Linked DNA regions of Coturnix japonica. The protein of the gene in region 3 purifies or fractionates together with the protein of the main gene of each other region. This does not show direct contact. Links are inferred from orthologs where the notes say so. Each region holds a gene or a part of one and is shown on either strand. Other genes may lie near its edges. The genes, in order: HNRNPU, EWSR1 and PRMT8.

What was found.
Region 1: the proteins of PRMT8 (region 3) and HNRNPU purify together in Homo sapiens (affinity purification with mass spectrometry; 3 studies listed by BioGRID and IntAct, counting the BioPlex papers as one, with this or other methods). This does not show direct contact. The link is inferred for Coturnix japonica from reciprocal best matches to the Homo sapiens genes PRMT8 and HNRNPU.
Region 2: the proteins of PRMT8 (region 3) and EWSR1 purify together in Homo sapiens (affinity purification with mass spectrometry; 3 studies listed by BioGRID and IntAct, counting the BioPlex papers as one, with this or other methods). This does not show direct contact. The link is inferred for Coturnix japonica from reciprocal best matches to the Homo sapiens genes PRMT8 and EWSR1.

The regions. Positions count from the first base shown.
Region 1 is NC_029518.1:31,199,343-31,202,991, reverse strand, and holds part of HNRNPU (heterogeneous nuclear ribonucleoprotein U), read right to left. Parts: intron 2,291-3,649; coding exon 2,151-2,290; intron 892-2,150; coding exon 792-891; intron 1-791. UniProt on the Homo sapiens protein: DNA- and RNA-binding protein involved in several cellular processes such as nuclear chromatin organization, telomere-length regulation, transcription, mRNA alternative splicing and stability, Xist-mediated transcriptional silencing and mitotic cell progression.
Region 2 is NC_029530.1:9,960,455-9,963,387, reverse strand, and holds part of EWSR1 (RNA-binding protein EWS), read left to right. Parts: intron 1-443; coding exon 444-481; intron 482-1,061; coding exon 1,062-1,094; intron 1,095-2,004; coding exon 2,005-2,123; intron 2,124-2,678; coding exon 2,679-2,808; intron 2,809-2,933. UniProt on the Homo sapiens protein: Binds to ssRNA containing the consensus sequence 5'-AGGUAA-3'. Might normally function as a transcriptional repressor. EWS-fusion-proteins (EFPS) may play a role in the tumorigenic process.
Region 3 is NC_029516.1:68,075,427-68,079,875, reverse strand, and holds the start of PRMT8 (protein arginine N-methyltransferase 8), read right to left. Parts: upstream 2,923-4,449; 5' UTR 2,288-2,922; coding exon 2,213-2,287; intron 2,043-2,212; exon of another isoform or gene 1,920-2,042; intron 1,259-1,919; exon of another isoform or gene 1,198-1,258; intron 1-1,197. UniProt on the Homo sapiens protein: S-adenosyl-L-methionine-dependent and membrane-associated arginine methyltransferase that can both catalyze the formation of omega-N monomethylarginine (MMA) and asymmetrical dimethylarginine (aDMA) in proteins such as NIFK, myelin basic protein, histone H4, H2A and H2A/H2B dimer.

The DNA.
Region 1 (3,649 bases), on a different chromosome or scaffold from region 3:
GAATAGCTACAGCTGTTTCTTGCATTTAAGAATTCAATAGTGTCATTTAAAATGGAACAGCAGTTTTTTCCTCACCCTAACCTTAAAAGCTTTATGCTACTGGTTCCAGATTCTTGGTGACAAAATGCTGAACACTTCTAGCTAAAGACATGAGTAAGTATTCTTAAACCCTGAAAACCTGTTTGTGAATCAGTATACCTGTAATGCAGTTAGTCAGAAAGGCATTTCTGAATTAAGTCTCCAGCAGCACTTACCCCTCCCCATTTTAAAGGGAGTTTAGCAGACATTCAGCCTATGCGACAGCTGAGGATGAAGCTGCAAGGAACAAGCTAACAGCAAACGTCAAACACAAGAACTCAGATGGAATTTAAGTACGTATAACTAGAAAGTTGCTGCTATCAGAATACCCCTATTCGTACACATTTTTCAGACATATCTCATCAGCAGCTATTAGTTAAAAATACAGTAATTATCTGATCCCACTTATCTACTGAAGTTGTTTTTTGTTGTTCCAGCTGTTTAGAAATAAGACTCCCCAACTCCAAGAGAATAGTAACACAATTATCTACGAATTTTCCTTCTATGCGTAAACCTTATAATCTCAAAATCTTAAATAGTTAACCTTGTTTGGTCCCAGTACTAAACTTCCACAACATCCATTAATAACTCAAAACCCCTTTTCAAAACACACGGGCTACAATCGTTCAGTTTTACAGATGCTTTTCTGTTAGTCAGACAGGAAAATTTCAACCACAGACAATATAACACAGAAGAAAAACTTGAGGTCTTACCGAGCAACATTCCACTTGTGTTCAGCGACCAGCCAACTCGCACCTCATGTATATCAATGTCTTTTGTATACAGGTGTTTAACAGGAATCTTTTCTGTAACCTATTTTTAAATTATTCATTAAAAGTTATTGAGTGTTTTTTTCTAAGATCCCAACAAGAAAGAAGCAATGGTAACATCCAGAACCTTTATTCTCTGCTTACATCTTTACAAGTCCAAATAACAGTTTTTTTGCTTAAGTACAAGACTTAACCATGCCTGTGAAATCACAAAGCAGTCACTAAATGTTCAAATCCCTTGACTGACGGAGATGCAAAACATCACGTACCTTCAGAGCACTTAATCACAGCATTCTCTTGATAGTCAAAAATATCAACCCTCTTGATACTGCGTTAAAATTACAGCCCGCAAGGAATATAATCAATTAGAAACTCTGCTACAACATCGGGATTAACAGCGAATTGCTTTGCCAATAAAGTGTGGCATGAGATGAGAACACTTCTCCAGACAGACCCAGGGAAATACTACACCCTTTTCCAGAGAAAGCAGAGATCCCAGGCAAATTGCCAACTACCAAACAACAGAACCAGATTCAAAAACCTCGCCTGGGAGCACTGCGAGCTGGAGGCAACCAGCTCCTCTAATCGCCTTGTAGAAAATAGCATCAAATTTAAGTGGGGAAAAAAATCACAGGCCACTGGTTTCCACAAATATTTGAGTCATGTGACCAAGGGAAAGTCTGAAGAGTAACAAGACAATAAATACAATGTTTCATGTTCTTGTCCTCCCAGAGTTACAGTCACCAATGAATGGGATCACTACCAACTCATATGTGAGCAGTTAACATTTGGAAGTAGTAAAAAAGTGAACAGAATAAGCACATGTCCACACACATCTTCAGCAAATAAGGCTTTAACGCTGCTAAAAATCAAGATGTTTGACTTTGTGACTCCTGATTTTCTTCCTTGACAAGTGGGAGGAATCTGTTTCTTGTAAGGCTGATTGCCCTTTTCCATTCCAACTCAAAAGTTTGGTAAATCCAAACTTCTGTAATCTTCATGAAGTAAACACAAGTGAGCTCCCAACTACTATTCTAATTCTTTATGTTCTGGTGCATCAAGTGCCGCCTAAAATTCTCTGTTTAAAACTATGACAGTAAGTTACGTTGTCATGTCAAATGCAGCTTTATTTTCAAGTTAATTTCTTAAAGAGAGAAAGCAGTTTAGCAAATTAAGGCATCTTTCATTGAGAGCCATTTCTCTGCATCATTACATAATGCTTTCTTTAACATCTAACACTGAAATATAAACACTGTAATATTTAACACCTAAAACAGCCTCCCACAAAAATGAAAGTCTTACCTTCATCTCGAAGCAGACTTTGCCTTTAGAAACTCCATAGGAAGCTCTCCCCCCAGCCCAAAGGAAAGCAAAGCTTTCCATGGTCAGTGAGGAAGCACTAAACCGGTCTCTTGAGATTTTAAAATGCAGGTCACAGTTATCTGTTAACAAAAATTATTGCATACTTCAGTTTAAAAAACAAAAGAAAAGCAAAACAAACCCACAAAAAAGAAAAGCTAAACACCAACAAAGCAAAACTTTCTCATTTCATGCATTAAAAGTGACTCCAGTTTTCTAAGGTGATTTTAAGCTGCCATTTGGTAAAGGCAGGAGGACAACTGGACACATGCCAAAGAACTGAGGTAAATGCAACTAACAACAAACATGATTTGCATGGTGCCATCTTCCACTACTAAGTTCCCAAGCTTTAATAAATACTTGGCTTCCATCTCACCTATTTCAACCTTTTTTGTCAGTTATCCAATGCAGTGTATCTGGAAGATGCATGCTGCTCTCAGAGCTACTTGCTAGATTCCTTTTTGTCAAGCCTTACCCCTAATGTCTGAAAGCACTAAGTACAAACACGGGTATTTCTGTTTAAGTACTGGAAGTAGTACCATCTTCAGGAGATATACAGTCCTTTAGCCAAGTCCAATTAGATTAAGCCAATAAAATAAAGTCAGTTAAGTGCAGATAAGCACACAGCACATGGTAAGTGAGCTCATTTCGTGTAAAAACAAAAACCCAAACCAATCATGATCTGCAGCATGAACTCAACATCCTGACAAAACCCTAGGAGCCTTAAATGGAACCTCTGTTATATAGACATCTTCGGGACTGCTGCACTGTAAAGTCTCAGATTTATCTTCCAGTAGCTTTCAAAATGACAACACAAAGTGGGAACGTGAAGTGCAGGATATGGCACTTGAATCCCCCAGAGTAAGGAATCCACAGAAGAAACTCTGAACCTATTTGACAGTTACAAGAAAGGTGTGAAATTAGCAACCAGAGTATCTTCCGCCTTAGCAGAAAGTCTACATGATGCCCGCACATATTAAACTGCAGTTGTCCCTGTATTACTGGTAATTCTCAAACAGGAGATCTTGTTTGCACAAAGCCATCTGTGGCTATAGTTAGGACTTAAGCATTCCCATTAATACTTCTAGTTGTAGCAGGAAAGCCAAACAAAAGCAATCTGCAGAATAAAACAGTGTAGGTTACTTTTAAAGCAACACACAACAATTTCTAGCCAAAATGTTCTTCTAAGACACAAGAAGCACTTAAGAGCACTAAACCTCTTATACATGGATTGTCATAGTCAAGAGAGCCAAGCTGTTATACAATTCACTCTTTAAAGCTGTGCTTGATGGGGTGCTCCCAACAGCCTGCTGACACTTTCAGTTACTGTTTGTGGGTAACAGAAATTTCTACTAGATACAATAATCAGAAGTAGCTACCAGTCAGTTATTGGGAGAGTTAAGGACTCCCACAAAGATGGCTACTCACCACGTTGGAAGATA
Region 2 (2,933 bases), on a different chromosome or scaffold from region 3:
ATCTCCTCCCTTTTGAACTGTTAATGTCAGGGTCCCGGCAGGCTGAGGGTGCACTTTGTGAACACGCCGCAGGGAGGGAGCGACCAGCGGGCAGCCCTGGATCACAGGGATTGATCTGCAACGCTCACGGATGGGTGTCAGTTTGGTTTGGTGGTTGTTTTCTTTTTGCCAAGTATTGCACTGCTAATACCAATACAAAGTAATGGAAGGGTACCGACAGCAAAGTGGTGTCTAGAACCAGACAAGCGAGGTTGTGTATGTAAAGGAAATTTGAGCGAGCTGCCCTGAAGAAAGGCATAGTGACGAGATGAGAGAGAGAGAGAGACAGATGCATTGTTTGGAGATGTTTAGCCAGTGCCCTTCTTCCCTGTGAGCCGCAGAGGCTCAGAGCGGTACTGGCTTTGTAAAGGGAAAGGCCTTCATTTCTTCGTTTATCCCCCCAGCAGCGCTGGAGAGCGAGGTGGCTTCAATAAGCCTGGTGGTAAGTTTTTGAGCATTACAATGGATAGTGTTTAACGGAAAAAAAAAAAAAAAAAAGAATAATAATAATAATAAATAATAATGATAATAAAACAAACCAATTGCAGTCAGTCTGTAGAAAAAAATAAAGTGTAATTTGTCTTAGTTTTAAGTGGTTAAAAATGACGTATGCAACAAGACTGTAATGGGTAGAGCCGGCCATGCCCAGGGGTACGCGGTTACAGGTGATATGGAAGCATTGAGAAACCACTTCTGTAATTGGGGGAAAAGAAATGGTTTGGATTTGATAATTCTTAAGTAACTTTTGGATTAACCAACTGTAAAACGGATTGGCCTGGTAAAGCATTAAGACAAAAAACCAACCCCACGCAATAGTGGTTAATGGATGGAAAGGCTGCTAAAAACAGCGAACCGGTCGCCACGTAGAGGTGCATTGCTGGTGATTGTGCAGTGCGGGTCAGTTGGAGTTTAACCAGCGCCATCGAATGGTGGTTATAAGTAGATAGTGATGTGTGTGTCGCTCCTTCAGCCCGCAGGGCCTGCACTAACACTGCTTCTTATGGTTCTCTCCCGACTGGCAGGACACATGGAGGAAGGACCGGACCTTGACTTAGGTAATTGTCACTGCTCACACCCCTCCCAGGCTGCTGGCGTGGAGGTTTCTGTGCCCATCTCAGCTGGCAGAAGATGTTGCCCCGTATCTCGCCCTCCCATAACCCAAGTACAGAGGTGCTCTGCTGTTTGCAGTCTCTTTGGGGCTGTTTCATCTGATTCTCTATTCCTGGTTCATCAGAGCGCTTGGACTGGTGGAAGCCCACACGTGTCTGTGAGATGCTTGTGCTTCTCTATGGAGCCAGGGGGCTCTTGCCAAGGAGCTGCTGTGTGGCTGCCTGGAGCAGCAGAAAGCACGTTCCAGGCTGCAGCAGTCTGGAGCTTGTAGGCACTTGTCCAGCAGTCTCCTTCCTCCTTATAAGATCATAGAATGGTTTGAGTTGGAAGGGGCCCTTAAAGGCCGTCTTACCCAACCACCCCCTGCAACAAACAGGGGCACCCACAGCTCCATCAGTGCTCACAGCCCCATTACCTGTGGCTGTCTGCAGGGATGGTGCACCACCCACCACCTCAATGGGCAGCCTGTGCCACCCCCACCTGGGGCCCTTTTCTTCCTCCTGCACAGACACATTTGGTAGTTCCCCATCAGCCTAAGGAAAGAGGGGATTATAGCAGCAGGAGGGGTGAGCATCCACATGCGGGACCTGGAGGATGCAGGGGTGTGTTGTGCCTTTGGGTCTCGCTCATGCCCCATTGCAGAGGTCTTGCATGGTGCCCTGGCCATGCTGGGTGGCTGCAGCAGAGAGCTCAGCCCTTAGCACTGCTCTCTGTGCCTGGGGTTTCCTGGAGTGCCTCAGTTCTATGTCGCTTCATAAATGCACTTATTGAGAGAGAAGCTGCAGCTGGCTGAGGGGTGACGTGCTGCTGGATCGCTGCCTCTTCCACTGCCTGACCCTGAGATTTGTCTCCTAGGCCCACCTATAGACCTGGATGAGGACTTGGACAACAGCTCAGTGTATGTGCAGGGACTCAATGATAACGTGACCCTGGAGGATCTGGCAGACTTCTTCAAACAGTGCGGGGTTGTCAAGGTGAGAGGAACGTGTGTGTGCAGGTGAGCACAGAGAAGGGAGCTGGCTGCCTCCTCCCTGCCCACTGTCCCATTCAGCCCCTTCTGTGGAGCCGGGCAGCTCTGATGGGCAGTGAGATCAGCACAGCCTGGAGCTGCCCTGTAGCACAAGCTCCCCAAAAGATCCTCATCAAGCTTTGTCCCTCTGTGCACTTCCATCAGCCATGCAGAAGCAGCAGTGCTTACAGACTCAGGAAGCATCCGTCTGTGGATCTGCTGCGGGTGGGATGTGTGACAGCTTGAGCGCAGGGCGGTGGGGAGAGTGGAGGAGGATGTGGGGAGGCTGCAGCTCCATTCCTGCACTCACAGGAGCCTGCAGGAGAGGCTGCTGGGCCAGTTCCTGCTTTTGGTTGCCATGGGTGGCTGTTGGTGTGGTAAGCCAGAGGGCCATTTCTCTTGCCACGGAGTTGCTAAGTGGAAGTGTTAGCTCAGATCAAAAGCAGAACAGGGGGGAGAGCCCCCACTCGGTGTATACGGGGATGTGTGACTTGTTATAAATGATTTGATGTCCTGCTAGATGAACAAGAGGACTGGGCAGCCCATGATACACCTCTACATTGACAAAGAAACTGGCAAACCGAAAGGAGATGCCACGGTCTCTTATGATGACCCATCCACTGCCAAAACAGCTGTGGAATGGTTCGATGGTGAGTATGGGGTGTGATGTGTTGGGATTGCCCTTCTGCTCCACGTGATTATGGACTCCGTGCACTTGTGTGCGCCCTGGGAACGTGTGTGTGGTGCCGGGCTCTGTGTGGAAACCCCCAGCACA
Region 3 (4,449 bases):
TTGGCTCATTAGGAACTTTAAAGTAATCTGTGTAAGAACTATGAGGTTTTTGGAATGATTTGGTTGTGAGATGTTTTGACCATTTGTTAAATGTTTTTAACTGTTCATCTCTCTCTCTCTAGATAGTATTTTTCACATCATGCCTATCACCAGCACATCAAAGTACTTTAGAAAATTCAATGAGCATCAGATTCAGCATATTTGTGAAATCCCAGTGGTTTCAAATGAGATTTATGCCACTTCCTAATTTTTCTCCTACACTATGACAAATCCAAATGTAAGGTGCTTTGTTCTGCATTCCTTTTGTCAAAGAACATTTGCTAACTTAGAAAAATGAAAAAGAAAAATATGTTAGGGGAATAAACTGGTATCTTAAGGCTTCACTAAACATAGATGCTTGACTAGTGAAAAAAGCTTCAAAGGTATTGGCAAATTTTGTCTGTGCATTTCTAAGACATCTCAGAACAAAAGAGAACTTAAAGTCACTAAGATGAAAATTAATAAAACAGGAGAAATATTTTTGCAGGTATTATGAGTATATGCCTCTTGGTTTTCTTAAGACACAGCAGAAGGCACCTAATCTACAATTTTCACTCATCATTCTCAGTTCACAAAATTGTCATTGTTTAGAAAATCTTCATAAAAGCACATTGTAGCATTGCACAAACATGATGAGGAATTTAAGCAATAAAAATGTACTAACAGTGAGTTGAAATACAAGAACAATATTTAAAGAATTTTAATTTTTTTTTGTCTGCTGCTTTCTAAAGACAGATCATAGAGGAAAAGAGCTTTGATGGGAAATGTTCCTTGCAATATCACCAAGGAACTTGGGACACTTAATGCGATATATCCTGTCAGTACTATAACAGTTTTATTGATGTGCAGCTAGATTTCATACTACATATACACACATCTCCTGCAAACAGCACTTTACTTAATGCAATATTAGGTATGCTCTTTGATTTAATGCTCACATTAAACTACTGAGATAGCTCTGTTCTTCACATGGCATAGCAAATAAGGTATATTTATGTACATCGGACACATATTTCTTAACAGAGGAAACACTATACAAGGAGTAATGTTGGATTCATAAAGGTGCAGAGCACTTACTGTGAGGACTATTTGAAAGCAGGAGACATTTAGCAAAGACCTTGAAAGGAGAAAGGAGGGAACAGTCACATGCTCACTCACCCTGGAGTGGTGCTTTGTTCTTTATTATCTGCAGGGCAATGGGGAGGAGAGCCAGTATCATCTGTGCATACAAGGACAATGCAGTTGAACTTAATTAGGGTACAGTGTCCTTGGGGGTCCACATATGGCTATGCTGCATATAGCTTAACAATATGTTAAATGTTCAGCCAGTCTCAGGCATAGTCTGTTAATAGAAATGGGCGCATATTTGCACATTCACCTGTCTGCTTCTCACAGGTTCCCAAAGAAACTGAGATTACATCCTGCATCTTTTACTTTTTCAGAGCTGAGATTTTGCATACTTCTGTAAAATTTAAGAAGACTCAGCGAGATCAAGACAGCTCCAAGGAGGCAAATGAGGGTTGCAGCTGAATGAGAAAAAAAAAGGCTGAAGGAAGCTCAGGTCAGACAGGCGCTTGGGGAAATGCTCTTCCTGTCCCCGAACCGTGCTCAAGCAGTTTCGCTGTGATATCCGGGTGCTGCAGGGAGATTTCTCTCAGCACCCCCACGCAGCCCTGACACTGCGTCGTTTCAGTTGAAAAGCACCAGGAGCTGACCAAGGTGCTGTACAAAAATCCCTGTCAGCCTCCTCAAACATGCAGTAACAGCCTCCTCCTCCCCCGCGCCCCCTCCCCCCCCACTCAGCGCCGCACAACCTCTTTTTTTCCCTTTCACGGTACACGACACAAAACGTCTCTTCCAACCAGCCTGCAATGACCCACCTAGCCTTCCGGGGAAGAAGTCATACCACGGATGCTTCCCGGAAGCTGCCCGAGGGACTAGACAGTCCATCCGGGAGCAAAGTTCTCTAACAGCAGTGAACGGCGGCGAGTGGGAGGGAGTGAGGGGAGGGGGAGGGGGGTCTGAAGGGAAGAGAAGCGCAGTCAGGAAATCATAACAAAAGAGGCAGACAAGCCAAAGGACTCAGGAAAGTTCATCGTCAGTTATTACTGCTTCTGCTGAGGGAGCCCAGGGCTGGGGAAACTGGGTTACAGGCTTTGACTTGCGTTCTTACCTCAGTACTTTCGGCACTGTTCTCCGCCATTTTCCTCCTCAGGAGCAGGCAGCGGGAGGAGTGTTTCATTCCCATAAGAGCTAACCACGGGGTTGGGGCTTCGAGATTGGTATTTTGTTTTGTGTTTTCAAAGATTTCCAAATACAGGTTTTCACCAAAGGGAGGAAACTTCTACAGAAAACAGCAATAAATCAGTCTTCTCTGTCCGTTCTAATTCACCCAAGAGACTATTTGTCGTCTTTTGGCATCAGGAGCTCCTTGGCACTTTCAAGTATTTTCCTCTCACCTCCACCTCCAGCAAGCTTTGGGAATGGGCAGAGAGGTGGCACGCACTCTTCAGGTTAAACTAATGGGCTGTCAGTCTGTGAGTCCACCCCTTCAGAGAAATCTGTCGAGCTAAACAGGAGAGAAGCACCAGCTGAACTGAACTTGTGCATGCAGGGACCAGCTCGGCATCTTTGTGTCCTGTGGGTAATCTTCCAGAGAGAGAGGGAGGCAGAGATAAAACAGCAGAACAAGGAAAACATAGCCTCTTACTTTCCTTTTTTGGACTTCTTTCTCTCTGGGTCTTCAGAAAATTTCTTTTAAAGATGGTCACACATTTGCCACTGTCTTTCCATGAAAAAGTACGGTAACCTCCTCTCTCCTTTCCATTTCCCTTTCTCTTCGCTTTCTCCTTTCTCCTTCCCCAATCTCTCCTCCCCTTCACCCCTCCCTCTCTCTCCCTCATTCCCCTCCTCCTCCCTCTCCTCTGCCTTCTCCTCCCCTTTTCCTTTTCATCCTCTCCCTCCCCCCTCCCCCCCATCACTCATCCCATCCTTCATTTTCTCGACCCTTTCTCCTCCTGAGAAATACTTTTTGTTCGTCTCTGAAAATTGCATTTACACGTCTTTCATAGGAAAAACACTATGTCAAGCTCCCCCCAACTTGTTACCTACTCCCTCTCATATACAAGCATGTTCCCTCATTTTCTGTCCCTCTCATACAGACATGTTTTGTTTTGTTTTGTTTTTTCTTGGTTTTACCTCCCTTGTGTTGCTGTGAGCAAGGGTGAGAGGGGGTGTATTACATAATTAATCCTTTCAACTTCATATTCCACAGCTCGACTTTCAGCCCACTGTTCTCATGGTTTTGTTTTGTTTTTATATAGAGGAGGTGAGGAAATAATGTTGGTGTGTGGGTGTGTGTAGCTTGCAAGATTTCAAGGACCAGAGCAAGACTGCTGCTCTCTGAAGAGTCTGAAATCATTTCCTCTGCAGGTGTCAATGGAGACTTGAAAAGATTGCTTTCAGTGCATTATTTTAAGCACATATCCAACTCAGATGCTACATCAGAGAGAAATTTGAATTTGTTGAATTTTTGTCCCCTAGAGTCTATTTTTAAGTATTTTAATTAGAGTTTATCCTGAGCTGACCACTACAATACTGACCTATCATCAGCTAGTGCATGAGTACCCAGCCTTTTTTTGCGTTGCCCGGGCTACGCAAAAAGTGATGGTGGTGATGAGGAATTGTCTTGGGTGACATATAAAATACATAGGGTGCTCAGAAAGAAGTGCCTCCTATTTATTTCCATAGAAACTACAGCAGATACAAAAAACACAGTAAGATTATTTGCTAGAGAAAATTCGCAATTACAAAATGGTTTTTTTTTTTATACATTCACCATGATCAGTTATGCGTTTTCACCAATGATAAACTAGAGCCTACATACCGCACTTATAAAAATCTGCACCAGTGGAGGTAACTTACTGCCACTGTCACCTCTGCTGAAACACACCACCACCTCACTGTGCTAGCATCCACTGTTTGGTCTCCATGAATGTTCAGCAAGCATTGATGAATGTCAGTTGAGTACAATTCTTCCCACATGAAGGAATTCAGTTATGCAGCTTTGCTCATACACGCTTCCCAGTCAGGTGCTATTTTGTTAGACTGTCCTTCTGCTGCCATCTGTTTCACATGGAAATAGAATTTAACAAAACGTTGGTAGGAAGATTCAACCTCTACTGACATACCACCAATATTTACTTCTAATATTGTTGACCAACATCATAAAATAGGAGGCATTACTTTCAGAGCTGTCCTCAGACATGATATAATTCATGTATATGCAATAAAACCCAGAGAAGCTAAAGTATGTAACATGCTGGTATGTCAACTGACAGTGAGAATATGACATGTAGGATACAATGGTGTTGTATGAAATATTTCAGAATGTGAGAGAATGTTACAGAG